Coturnix japonica: one gene and its partners. The protein of the gene in region 3 purifies or fractionates together with the protein of the main gene of each other region. This does not show direct contact. Links are inferred from orthologs where the notes say so. Each region holds a gene or a part of one and is shown on either strand. Other genes may lie near its edges.

The links.
Region 1: the proteins of RPRD1B (region 3) and RPRD2 purify together in Homo sapiens (affinity purification with mass spectrometry; 4 studies listed by BioGRID and IntAct, counting the BioPlex papers as one, with this or other methods). This does not show direct contact. The link is inferred for Coturnix japonica from reciprocal best matches to the Homo sapiens genes RPRD1B and RPRD2.
Region 2: the proteins of RPRD1B (region 3) and DNA-directed RNA polymerase II subunit RPB11-a purify together in Homo sapiens (affinity purification with mass spectrometry; 3 studies listed by BioGRID and IntAct, counting the BioPlex papers as one, with this or other methods). This does not show direct contact. The link is inferred for Coturnix japonica from reciprocal best matches to the Homo sapiens genes RPRD1B and POLR2J.

Annotation. Positions count from the first base shown.
Region 1 is NC_029540.1:1,879,499-1,884,332, reverse strand, and holds the start of RPRD2 (regulation of nuclear pre-mRNA domain-containing protein 2), read left to right. Parts: upstream 1-1,791; 5' UTR 1,792-2,087; coding exon 2,088-2,295; intron 2,296-2,723; exon of another isoform or gene 2,724-4,571; intron 4,572-4,834. Other genes in the region: PRPF3 (U4/U6 small nuclear ribonucleoprotein Prp3), read left to right, coding at 110-193, 311-372, 665-811.
Region 2 is NC_029534.1:3,079,599-3,084,034, reverse strand, and holds DNA-directed RNA polymerase II subunit RPB11-a, read left to right. Parts: upstream 1-1,722; 5' UTR 1,723-1,801; coding exon 1,802-1,854; intron 1,855-1,991; coding exon 1,992-2,081; intron 2,082-2,186; coding exon 2,187-2,361; intron 2,362-3,314; coding exon 3,315-3,350; 3' UTR 3,351-3,693; downstream 3,694-4,436. Other genes in the region: ras GTPase-activating protein 4-like, read left to right, coding at 132-269, 338-649, 721-858, 927-1,062, 1,134-1,254, 1,326-1,375, 1,480-1,601; LRWD1 (leucine-rich repeat and WD repeat-containing protein 1), read right to left, coding at 3,910-4,050. UniProt on the Homo sapiens protein: Core component of RNA polymerase II (Pol II), a DNA-dependent RNA polymerase which synthesizes mRNA precursors and many functional non-coding RNAs using the four ribonucleoside triphosphates as substrates.
Region 3 is NC_029535.1:8,680,509-8,684,205, forward strand, and holds the end of RPRD1B (regulation of nuclear pre-mRNA domain-containing protein 1B), read left to right. Parts: intron 1-495; coding exon 496-645; 3' UTR 646-2,962; downstream 2,963-3,697. UniProt on the Homo sapiens protein: Interacts with phosphorylated C-terminal heptapeptide repeat domain (CTD) of the largest RNA polymerase II subunit POLR2A, and participates in dephosphorylation of the CTD by RPAP2. Transcriptional regulator which enhances expression of CCND1.

The sequences.
Region 1 (4,834 bases), on a different chromosome or scaffold from region 3:
TGCTCTGAAAGGCTTACTTGTGTGTTTGTTGTTCTTCTGCCTTTTAAAGTCTCCTAAAAACATGAGGGTTAAGGACCTTTGTGAATGTAAGTCTCAATTCTCTCCCCAGGCCCGAAAGCACAGAAGAAATTCAAACGTCTTATGCTTCATCGAATAAAATGGGATGAACAAACATCAAACACCAAGGGAGAAGGTAAGCATTAAACCCTGTGGGGAAGGAGGTGGTAACAGATGATGTTGTAGCCATTGGGTTGGTTGAGCAGTGGTGGTTCTGCAGGACTAGAATTTGTTGTTGCTGTTTCTATTCCAGATGATGACGAGTCTGATGAGGAGTCTGTTAAGAAAACAAACAAATGCTCTCTGGTTTGGGAGGTGAGTGGGCAGAGTTCTGGTTTGCTGGGAGTTCTGGGGGCTTAGGAAAGGCACAGGTTAACCCTGCCTGATAGAATGGCTGCTTTGTATGGAAGGGAAGTCTACTGATCTGAATTGAACTGTACAGTTCTTAAGCTATAGCAGAATTACACAGTGTGGGGTAGATACTCCAAACCTCTTGCAGCAGTTGGGTTAATTGCTTGTTGACCTGTAAAAAACATTTATTCTCAGTTTTATTTCAGTTACTTTCTCCCCATAGACTTGTGGAAATGAGTCCCCTTTTCTCTTCCAGGGCACGGCAAAGGATCGAAGCTTTGGCGAAATGAAATTTAAGCAGTGCCCCACTGAAAACATGGCACGGGAGCACTTTAAAAAGCACGGAGCAGAGCACTACTGGGACCTGGCTCTGAGTGAATCCGTGCTGGAATCCACAGACTGAGGGTGATGCTGCCCCCGGCACCCCCCCCCCTCCCTTTCTTCGTTTGAGAACGAATACCTCGTGGGAACTTGAACGACCCCCTTCCTCCCCCTCCGGTCTCAGTACAGCGAAGTATGATTAAAAGAAATATTTTTTAAAGCAAATCACTTAACAATTTGTTTTTCTGGATACGTTCAGCTCCTGGAGGAGGTGTGAACCTGTTGGCTGCCCCCCCCCAAGCCCACACTGTAGGGAATCTGACCTGGGAATGTGACCTTCTATGGAAAGAATCGTTATGGAGCTGAAGGGGAGAAGTTGTTTTCTATGCTCTTTGTGTCCCTTCAGGTACGAAGGTCTCAGGGCTGTGCTGGGAGGTGTGGGGGGGCACAGGGGGTCTGTGTGGGGCAGCACAGGGGACAGGGGAGGAGCACTTGGTGTTTGTAAAGCAGAGTAGGAGACGGGGACTTAGCCCACATCCTATATTTACATAATAAACATGTTGGTTTCTTTTTGTAAAAGCTGAAGCCGCCTTCGGTTTGTGTGTGTTTATGGCAGCGTTTGGAACAGCACCCAATGGGGGGGTTTGGTGGTTTAATGGGAGTTTGGTGCTTTAAGCGAGGCTTGATCTCATTGCAGTGCTCCCTGCGAAGGGCAGCTCAGCCTCTCCCAGCTTTCTGCTCAGCTCAGCGGGCCGGGTCGGACATTATGGCCCCGTTACTTCAAGCCTCATCTTGCTTCTCTACAGCGCAGGCGGCCGCCATCTTGGCCGCGGGGCAGGCCGGGAGCGAAGCGCAATGCTTGTGGAGGGGGGTGATGCTCAATGCGCATGCGCGACGGCAGGGAGGACGGCTGGGTGGAGCGGCGCATGCGCATTGCTCAGGAGGGCGGGCGGCGGCGCATGCGCAGTGCAGAGGCGGCTGTGGTGGGGGGGGTGCCGCCGCCGAGGCCGTGTGAGGGAAGGCCTGGCACAAATGGCGGCGGGGGGGCGGGCGCTGCGCGCGGAGGGGGCCGGCGAGTGACCGAGCCACCACCGCCCCGGGGTGCTGCTGGTTGGGGGGGGGGGGGGACGAAGCGGAGACGGCTCCGTGCGGCTGCCGAACCGACCTCGGAACGCGGCCCGGCCTCTCGGTGTGGGGCCGCCTCGTTCTCCACACACCCCCCCACACCCTCCGTTTCTCCTCCCAACCCCCCCCCCGGGACCGTGACGGCGGGCGGCGGCCGCGGCCCCGCGGGGCTGTGAAGGCCGGGAGCGCCGCCGCCGTCCGCGCGGCCCCGCCTGGGAGAGCAGGGCACGAAGATGGCGGCGGGCGGCGGAGGCGGCGGCAGGGCCTCATCATCGTCGGCCGCGTCCTCGTCGGCCGGAGCGTTGGAGGCCTCGCTCGATAGGAAACTGCAAGCGGTGACCAACACTATGGAGTCCATCCAAGGCCTTTCGTCGTGGTGTTTGGAGAACAAACGGCACCACAGCACCATCGTCTACCACTGGATGAAGTGGCTGCGGCGCTGTGAGTGAGGGCAGCGGTCGGACCGGGCCGCCCCTTTTCCCCCCATCCCGTCCTTCTGGTTCCCTTTGGTGGGGTTATGCGGCCCTTATGGAGCTCCGTGTTGGGGATAGGGAGCAGTTCCCACTCCTGACGGGGTTCCTTTCAAACGCTTTGGAAACTGAGATTGGGTTTCCTATTCCGTGCTCCAAAGGCTGATCCCGCACTGTGGTGTTGGGACGGGTCCGTGTCGGTGTGTTTGGAAAGGAGCAGTTTCATGGCAGAGTTCCTTTGGTTGGATGCTGCCAAAGCTCAGGGCTGGCAATGGGGCACTGTGTGATGGTGGGGCTCTATGTGATGGTGGGGCTCAGCACGGTGCTTACAACACAGTATTATGGGGGGGGGGGGGGTTGTGATGGTGGTGCTGGTGTTGTGTCAAAGCTGCCCAGCTCAACTTGATGGAGCTCGCAGATCTGACGTGCTTTGAGGTGTGATTTCGCAGAGGCCTTTCGGTATGGCTTCACTCCTGGGCTGGCTTTCAGCTTAGCGTTGCCTCTGTGTGTTTTGGGATATATAAATGGAGTCGTTGTAGACGAGCTGTGGTACTGTTGGGCCTCTGGAATGATGCTTTGTGCTTGGCCTGAGTTGTTGTAGAGCATCGTTTGGAAACATTGGAGTGTTCAGTGCTATGGAGTGGGGGGTTGTGACCATCCTGTTCTACAGGAAACACAGCCTGACATCAATAAGAAGGAAACACGTTGGGTGCCAAAACTCAGATTTGGTGAATGCCAGCAATGGCACAAGAGTGGCAAAGTTCCTGTTTTCTAAGCAAGGTTGAGTTCTAGCTGCTGCCTGGCTGATGTGTGAAGGTTTGGTGTGTTGGAGGAGCTAAAGAAAGCTCTGTAGTAGCGTGGAGATAAAGCAGAGCAACACTACACAACGACAGTATTGTGTTGAACCTTTTGTAAAGCCGTGCTGCAGTAGCTTTGTGACCCCACGTGTATTTTGGTATTAATGAGTGGAGGGTGAAGAGGTGCTGTGTGTGCTCTGGGGGTTGTTTTGGTGATGCCTGGTAATGTGTCAAGCAATCTGTCAACCCTAAAAGGTACAGCTGAATAGTGAATGGGGTCCAGAAGCCACAAGGATGCTCCAGAGGATGGAGCACATCTATGGAGAGAGGCTGAGAGCTTGGGGTGTTCAGCCTGGAGAAGAGAAAGCTCGTTGTGGCCTTCAAGTATCTAAAGGGAGCACATAAACAGTGGGTAAAGCAACTGATGTGTGTGATAGGATAAGAAGGAATGGCTTTAAATTACAAGAGGGGAGACTTAGGTTAAATGATAGGAGGAAATTGTTTAGCCAGAGGCATCTCAATGCTGGCACTGTTGCCCTGAGAAATGTGGGTGCCCCAGGCCATGGATGGAGCCCTGGGCAGCTTGAGCTGGTGGGGTACCCAGCTTATGGGCGGCTGTGAGGTCCTTTCTGACCCAACCCAGCTTATGGGGGGCTGTGAGGTCCCTTCTGACCCAACCCAGCTTATGGGGGGCTGTGAGGTCCCTTCTGACCCAACCCAGCTTATGGGGGGCTGTGAGGTCCCTTCTGACCCAACCAGGAGGTGATTCCATGTGCCATAAGCTCAGATCTCTGCCACTGGTTGCTGGAGTTTGTCTTAACGTTGATCTGATGGGAGAAAAATCACATTGAACTTAGTGAAACATTTATTTCTTGTTAGTGCACTTAGTGATTAAAAAGTGATGTAAGAACCTGTTTGTACCCAAGGAATAGCTTTGCCTGGGCTGTCAGTGCTATAAATTCACACAAGGCAAAGCACTGTGTTTATCTTCTTCAGAGCTCGTCTCTGGAGCCCTACATTCGCTGTGGTCACAGCAGTTTTCTTTCTCCTCCTGGCACAGGTGGTTCTGCTCCACTCCTCCACTCAGGGAGCTGCCAAAGTCCCTTTTCAAGCACATTCCTTTGACGCTGCCCCTTCCTTCTCATTTACTCTCTTTCATTAGCCCTTCCCTTATTCCAAGGTTCATCAGAAGTCTTTATTCTTTCTTTGGGAGCCATGGATGCTCTGCTTCTGTCCTTCCAAGCTCCTGTTGGTTATAAGCTGTCAGTACCAGGCTGGATTTCTGTTTGGTTCTGAGGTTGCCCTGGTGCATCCCCCATGTTTGTGAGGATTGCTTAGCACCTCACAGCCCTCTCCAGTAACATGACTGAATAGCCAAGAGCTTATTGTGCTCTCTGGAAGAAGCACAGAACCTTAAGGGTTGAAGGGGACTTCTAAAGCTCTTCCCAAGGTTGGTTCCCTATAGCAGGCCACACTATACCTAGTGTCCAGGTGGGTCTCAAGAGACTCCCCCACCTCTCTGGGCAGCTTGTGCCAAAGCTCTGCCACATTCAGACTGAACTCCCTGGGTTCTGGTTTGTGTCCTGTGCCCTTTTCTTGTCACTGGGCACCACTAAACAGAGCCTGACGCCCACCTTTCACAGAATCACAGAATGACCCGGGTTGGAAAGGACCTCAGGGATCATGTAGTTCCAACCCCCCTGCCTGGCAGGG
Region 2 (4,436 bases), on a different chromosome or scaffold from region 3:
CTTGAGGTCCCTTCCAACCTGGGTCATTCTGTGATTCTGTGGGCTGTGAGGATCATCCAACCCTGAAGCATCATGAGGGATGGTGCCATGGGGATGGACCCTCACACATCTCTTGCCCCCGGTGGCTGCAGCACACTCAGTTCGTGGCTGTCACCAGCTTCTTGTGCCTGCGCTTCTTCTCCCCCGCCATCATGACCCCCAAACTCTTCCACCTGAGGGAGACACACGCTGATGCACGTACCAGCCGCACGCTGCTGCTGCTGGCCAAGGTGAGCTGGGACATGGGCACAGCGGGGTGGCACTGGGGGCAACGACTCCACCATGCCGTGGTCTGCAGGCCGTGCAGATGGTGGGCAACATGGAGCCAGCGGCAGGGAGAGCCAAGGAGGAATGGCTGGCCCCGCTGCAGCCCGCCCTGCAGCACGGAGCCTCCCAGATGAGGGCCTTCATCACCCGCCTGGTGGGCACGGAGGAGGAGGAGGGTGGAGAGGAGCAGCCCTGTGCCCCCCGCAGCAACGTGGTGAAGGAGGGGCTGCTGTTTGTCCATAAGACACGGGGCAAAGGGCCGCTGCTTGCTTCTGCATCCAAGAAGCTGCACTTCTGCCTCACCAGCGAGGCACTCAGCTTCAGCAAGAGCCCCGGGGCAGAGGTAGGGGGACGTGGGGTGGTGGGATCCCATGGTGGCACGGAGGGCACCGAGCGCTGTGTCCCCAATGGCAGAGATGCGGCTCCATCGCTTTGGCCAACATCCGAGCGGCCGAGAAGGTGGAGGAGAAAAGCTTTGGGAGCTGCCACGTCATGCAGGTGGTCTATGTGGATGAGGCCGGGCAGCAGGAGACGGCGTATCTGCAGTGCAAGGTGGGCTGGGATGGGGACGGGGCTGTTTCCCATTGGGGTACTGTGTGACCTCGCTGTTTAACCCGCAGTGTGTCAATGAGCTGAACCAGTGGCTGTCTGCGCTGAGGAAGGTGTGCGGCAACAACCCGCAGCTGCTGCGCTCCTACCACCCCGGGGTCTTCAGGGGGGATAAATGGAGCTGCTGCCACCAGAAGGACAGGACGGGTACGGGCTGCTGGGTGGGGGGTGGGGGTGGTGATGTCCCCGCTATTTTCAGCCCCTGTTCTGTCCCATAGGACCGGGCTGCGGCCGGACCCGGCACAGCATCACCCTGCAGGACTGGACCGACCCGCTGCAGCCCGACGTGGAGGCGCAGCGGCTCTTCCAGCACCTGCACGGGCTGCAGCAGCCCCTCAGGTGGGACCCACAACCGGGGGCAGCCCCCAAAGCGCCCCCTGCCCCGCGGCCAACAGCCCCTTTATCCGCAGGGAGAAGTGCCGGCAGCTCATGGAGCCGGGGGACCCTCAGAACGGAGAAGGTAGAGAAAGGACCCCCAGCTCCCCATCCCCCCCATAGGCGCTGTGCTCTGGGGCTGCTCCCATTCCCGGGGGGTCTCACCGCCCCGCTCTCCCCCCCCCCCAGCCCCACCGCTGACCCCCGCGCTCCGCCGGCTCCTGGATGCGCTGCAGGACCTGGAGCGCTGTCACCGCCGGCTGCCCCCGGCCCAGCCCCCCCTGCAGGAGCTGCCGGAGCCGCAGACGTGACGGACGGACCGGGATGTGCCGGGATGGGGCTGGGGGGGGGGGGGGGGGGGGGGTCGCAGCGTGGCAATAAATGCGCAGCTCCACCCGCTCCGTGTCCGTGCCTTTATAGCGCACTGCGCACGGTCCGCCCGCACGGCAGGGGGCGCTGTGGGCGGAAGTGACGCTGTGTGCGCTGCGGGGAGCGGTGCGGAGCCGGCGGGATGAACGCGCCGCCAGCATTTGAGTCGTTCCTGCTGTTCGAAGGGGAGAAAAAGTGAGTAGGGGGCGGGATGGAGGATGGGGGGGGTCCGGTGGGGGGTTGGGGGCTGCCCGGACCGTCCCGTGCCCCCCCGGTTCCCCCCATGTCCGCCCGGGCTGTGGCAGTGAATCGCCGCCCCCTGTGCTGTGTAGGATCACCATCAACAAGGACACCAAGGTGCCCAACGCCTGTTTGTTCACCATCAACAAGGAGGATCACACGCTGGGAAACATCATCAAGTCGTGAGCTGAGGGAGCTGGGCGCTGCTTACAAGTGCTGGGGCTCTTATAAAGCTCTTACATCTATTAATGTATGTTTGTTTGCTGCTGCTTTGCCTCCTCCCCCAGGCAGCTGCTGAAGGACCCCCAGGTGCTGTTTGCAGGTTACAAGGTCCCGCACCCCCTGGAACATAAAATCATCATCCGCGTCCAAACGACCCCGGATTACAGCCCCCAGGAGGCCTTCACCAACGCCATCACCGACCTGATCAGCGAGCTGTCCCTGCTGGAGGAGAGATTCAGGGTGAGCTCAGTTCTGAGCACTGCGAGAAGCCCATCCTTTGAACCTAAGGGAAGGGCTCAGCCCAGAGCTGCTGCCATCTCGAAGATGATCAGGGGGCTGGAGCACCTCCCCTATGAGGACAGGCTGAGGGAGTTGGGTTTGTGCAGCCTGGAGAAGAGAAGGTTGCGGGGTGACCTCATTGCAGCCTTTCAGAACCTGAAGGGAACCTATAACCAGGAGGGGAGTAAACTCTTGGAAAGGGCTGACAATAGCAGGACACGGGGAAATGGTTTGAAGTTAAAAGAGGGAAGATTTAGGTTGGATGTCAGGGGGAAGTTCTTCACTAGGAGAGTGGTCAGGCCCTGGAACAGGCTGCCCAGGGAGGTTGTGGATGCCCCGTCCTTGGAGGTGTTCAAGGCCAGGTTGGACGGGGCCGTGGGCAACCTGATCTATGGGGTCTCTATGGGGAATCTATGGGGTCTCCTGGGCAACCTGATCTAGTAAATGTGTATGTTTGGTGGCCCTGCCAGGCAGGGGGGTTGAAACTACATGATCCTTGAGGTTCCTTCCAACCCGGGTCATTCTGTGATCATCTAGTCCAACCATTCCCAATACTTCCCGGCTAGATCATACTCAACAACACAACATCCAGACGTTTTCTTGAACACTCCCATGGTCGGTGACTCCACCACCTCTCTGGGCAGTGCATTCCAATGCCTGACTACCCTTTCCGCAAAGTAAAACTTCCTAATGTTCAGCCTGAATCTCCCCTGGCGCAGCTTAAAACCATTCCCTCTAGTTCTATCACTGATAACACAAGAGAAGAGGCCAACCCCCAGCTCACTACAACCTCCCTTCAGGAAGTTATAGAGCAATAAGGTCTCCCCTGAACTCATGCAGTTGTTGTTTGATGTGAAATTGATGAAATCAGTGTTTAAACCATCCACTGACGGTTCTGTTTCTGTTCTTTACAGGTTGCCATTAAAGACAAACAAGAAGGAATCGAGTGAAATCAGCCTGCTCTTAGTGTGATACACTGCTGATGAAGAACGATGTGTCTGAGTGAAATGCTTTATTTAAACCTTCATTCAATGCCAATTACTTTCCTTCCAGTCCTACTGACTTTGGCAGCAGTATTGGGAGGGGATGTTTGTATCTGACATGTCTTGTTTGATTTCATGGCTTAATTCACTAAAATGGTTTTCACTTTTCTAACTGGAGCCTCACTGTCACTATGTGCACTATGCTGTAGCTCAGTCTCACTGCCCTTATGGCAATGAGGAGATGCTGAGTGGCAATAACGGGTCACAGCCCTGGTTTCCCATTCCAAGAAGTTCAGATTCTGCCAGCAGAGTTGTTGTTTTGTTTTATTAAGTGTCATTTCTATAAAACAAATGCACAAATTGTGTAAACTTACAGGAAAAAAGCCTGGATGACTGGATGTGCTTAACGAACTCTTTTACCTTTTGCACGTAACAGCTGGTCTAGAAAACTTTATGGTTATATGGGTAACAGTCACTAATACTGCACTATTTCAAAACACGGGGAATGAACTTCTATAACAAGGAACTATGACTTCTTCCAAATGGCTGTAATGTTCACACTAGTGAGAGCAACAAGGTAAGTGAAAGTAGGGTCTGTTATCACGTTGTTTATGTAGACTTCGCTCAGGTGTTCCCCATTTGCTTGAAGCTCCGGCCATTTGAGAATCTACAGGGAGAACAGAGTTTGTGTAGGAAAGGAATGGTATCATTGTCCATGAAACTTGGGCAATATCAATTATTGCAAAGCCTGGTTTGACAACTGGAGCTGGGTGGGGTCCAAAGAGGTCACATCCCTACCAGATACAGTTAGAGCTAAGACCACACGTGCCTCACAGCCTTTGTGAATGTGTAGTTGTTAGGGCACACTACTGACCCACAGCAGGAGTGTGCTCAGGAAAAGAATGAGCAAAAGAGAAGCAGGAACACAGGCCAGAAGCTTCCCCTTCCCCACATGCAGTTCTACCAAGGAGCAGCTGCTGCTGTTACCTCCACTCATCCAGACAGGGAAACAGTGGCTGCACACCAGACAGCAGCGCAGGAACAGCTTGTGTT
Region 3 (3,697 bases):
ACACTCCAAGCTTATCAAGCTGGGGTGGGAGGAAGCACATTTCAGCAGATTAGTAATACCTGGGGTGTTCCTCAGACTGCTGCCTTTGTCAGTGGGATGTGTCTGAATAACGCTGTGTCAGTTTCCTCCTTTGGATCTGCACAAAAGCCAGTTGTCTGGAGAAGAATATAGGAATAGAGCAACTATATAATGACAGTTCTGTCAAATATTCCACCAGGTCTCAGTGTCTGTGGGGTCGTTCATGTAACTTTTGTTGAGGTATCATGGCAGGATCAGTGGCTCTGAGATGCTGAAGCTTGTGGACTTCTTGCTGGGGCAGGCTGTGAGTCTGGGTGCAGATGGCAGCTCTACAGTCGTGCAGTAGCTGCACAGAGAACAACCAAAACCTTGCCACTTTTTCCTAGAATCCTCACTTAAACAAACAATCCTGGCTTAACTAAAAGCACTGTAAGTTAACCTGTGTTTGATGCTTGGTCTCTCGTCTCTTTCCTGCAGGAATATAAACAGAAGCTTGCTCGGGTAACCCAGGTCCGCAAGGAGCTGAAATCTCACATCCAGAGCCTTCCGGATCTGTCACTGCTGCCCAACGTCACAGGAGGTCTGGCACCTCTGCCGTCTGCTGGTGACCTGTTTTCAACAGACTAGAACAAATGGTGTCCCCTAGTTTCCATTATTACCAGCAAAAGTAAGAAGACTGTTGACTGGAAATCCAGTCTTCCCAGATGTACAGTAGGAAAGAACTTTCAGACCCTGCTTTCAACCTCTTGGCTGCTCATGCTCACCTTCTCTCTGTGTACACTGGCTCACAACGAGGGCAGGATAAAGAGCGAGTTTTTGTGAGCTCTTAAGGGAGTGGGGATAGTCCGTATAAGCAATTTTCTCTCATAATTTTTCCTTACTCTTTAGTTTGTTTGCTCTTAGCACTTGTTACCCCACGAAAGTCATGAGAATCGTGTACATATATGGAAAGTGTTCAAAGAAAGGCTGACCGTATAACATTTTCCTCTGTAAAACTATTGTATTATTTCAGATTGTCTTGCCTGTTTTTGCTGGGTCTCTGAAGCTCGTATCTGAAAGCAGTAGTGGCTAGTGGGCTTCGTAGGGGTGCGTGCATGTGTGTCTGCAGGTATTATATCATGTCAGTGAAGGACAAAGGCACCTACTGAACAATGGCACAAATATTTTAAATCTACAGTTCCTCATGCTGTTGTAGGCCTCACATAAAAAATAGTTCCTATTTGGCATGAACATAAATTGAAACTCACCACAGGCAATAAAAATAAACAGCTTTTCTTTGTGAATTAGAGAGCTTCATAATTTAAGCTCTGCTGAGCCATGCAGAACTGGATATTACCTAAACGAGAGTGGAAGTAAATTTTGTTCTAGCTACCTTAGATTTATACTATATTTTTCCTCTTCATTATACAAAATAAACGATCACAGAAGCTTTGGTTTAACTGAGAGGCTGGAGTGTGGTGGATTGTAACTGGCCGTCACCCAGTGGCAGATCTGCTCTGAAGGTGGTCATGCTGAAAGCATTCTATAAATTCTCCCTGTAGCTTTAGTCAAGTTAATTGATGAACAGAAGTTAAATGTGATATAAACCCCCCCGTTTTTTTCTTAATCTAGAAAGTAGACCCATATACACATCCAGCATGCACATGTGCTATATCTATGCATGTATTAGAAGGATGTACTTAATTTTGTATCACAGATTGTGAGTTGATTTTATTATTGGGGGGGAAAAATTAGAGTACTCTTTAATTTGCTAATGTTCTAGCTGCCATGGATGTCATTAGATTTCAGTTTGTGTGGTAGGTCTATCAAGCTGGACTCTCATCACTGAAAACCATTCCTGTCTGGGAAAATAATCTGTTTAAATCTAATATCTCCTGCTGTGGAACACCTGAAGTTTCTGGAAACACTTGGTCTGACAGCACAGGCTCTATCACAGAGAGGCTGAAATGAGTTACGTTGGTGTGCTGTGTTTGTGCCTCGCTCTGGTCTTAAGCTGCAGTTCTCAAAGACGTGAGAAGATACCTATAGAAATGCAAATCTTGGTCTGCATTAATTTATTTTATGGAGTATTAAGTAGCCAATTGACATTCAGTTAAATAACACCATGTGTTTGGTGGTTTGGTTGTTGAAAAGCTCCTGTGCTTTTCTTACCGATGTTTCACTTTTGTTTATTTTTTTTCCTGTGAAAAGGAAACTTCTTCCACCCCTGTTGCCCAGCCAGGCAATGCCTTTCTTTTTCATTGGCAGGAAACTTTACGATGGCAGTGAATTATATTTTCCATGAATTGGTTTGATCTTGCAACCATTTGTGGACCAAATGTTGCTTACATCAGGCACCCAACACAGTCTGCTTTTGCCAAACATTAAAAAGGGAATAAAATAGGAAAACAAAGATAATAATCAAGGGAAACCAAACAAAGCCACCAAAGCTCCAAAATCCCAAACAAGAAGATGAATTTCTGTCCTGCCACAGCTCCCGGAGTTACCTTGAGGTTGCTTTAAGCAGTGATTGCTTTGACTGTGGATTGAACCCATATCCACTGTAAGACAAAACGTGTTGCCATCTCACGCTGTTGTTCTGGGCAGACGTCATGTGAGGAAGCGGGCTGTCTGTCTTTTCTTATTCTAGAAATGTTTGGACTTGTTGGTTGGTTTTTTTTTCCCCTAAGTGTGAGTGTGTTTTCTTTTGCTTAATTTAAATGAAGTCTCGTAGGTTTTACTTTCCTTTTAATGGGCAAAGGACATCTGGTGAACTGAGTAACGTTCTCTGAAGGTCAAACAGATTTTCCCAAGGTTTGTCTCTCTCTCTTTTTTTTTAATGCTAAAATCTGTATATTAATGGTTTTAGGAATTAATGTAGGCATATTGGCTGCCATTTGTGACAGCAGTATATTCTGAAATGTCTCATAGATCTATATTTTTGAATAAAGAGGGTGTCGTTGAATAGCGCTGGTTTTACTTGCTTCATTTGCAGTGCAGGTGCTGCTTGGACTCACTGTGGGTTTTGTTTGGGTGTTTTTACCCTCTGCATTTAAAGGACAGGAACTGCTGATCGGTCCTTATGGCAGAGTTTGAAGATGTGACCATTACTTGGACAAAGTCGAGCTGTGATCTGCATGTTGTGGCAGTACTTACACTGAATGGATGCGCAGCGTTCTTAGGTCATTGCATTCTACTTTTATTGCAGCATTCCTCAGAACTAACCTCTGATAAGAGAAGCACAAGGCACTGAAGACTTCCGGCTTCCAAGCTTATAAATTAATTCAGGTTATATGGAGGATGAATTAATAATTAGGTTTGGATACAAACAAACAGAAACCAAACCCAAACAGGAGCTTGGAAACTGACTTTCCTGTATGAAGCATTGAGAGCTGCTGCTGTTCCTGCAGGGTTTTGATGCTGTCTAATCAAAGCCTTTCCTCTGTAGAGGAGGAGGATCTTCACATCTTATTGTGTATTAATTCTCTTAGAGGTTTTGGGGGGGAGCTTATGGGTTCTTCACTCCAATTAACTGCTATTCAATAGTCTCTTTGGGCAAACTTGATAATTGTTTCATGTGCCTTGGAGAGTGTCAGCAAAGCTGCTTATAACTTTTAGCAATTTACGAATCTTTCATTAAGGAGGCTATATTTAGTCTGCTTTTGTAATCGACTTGCAGGAAGTTTGATCTGCAGCTTTC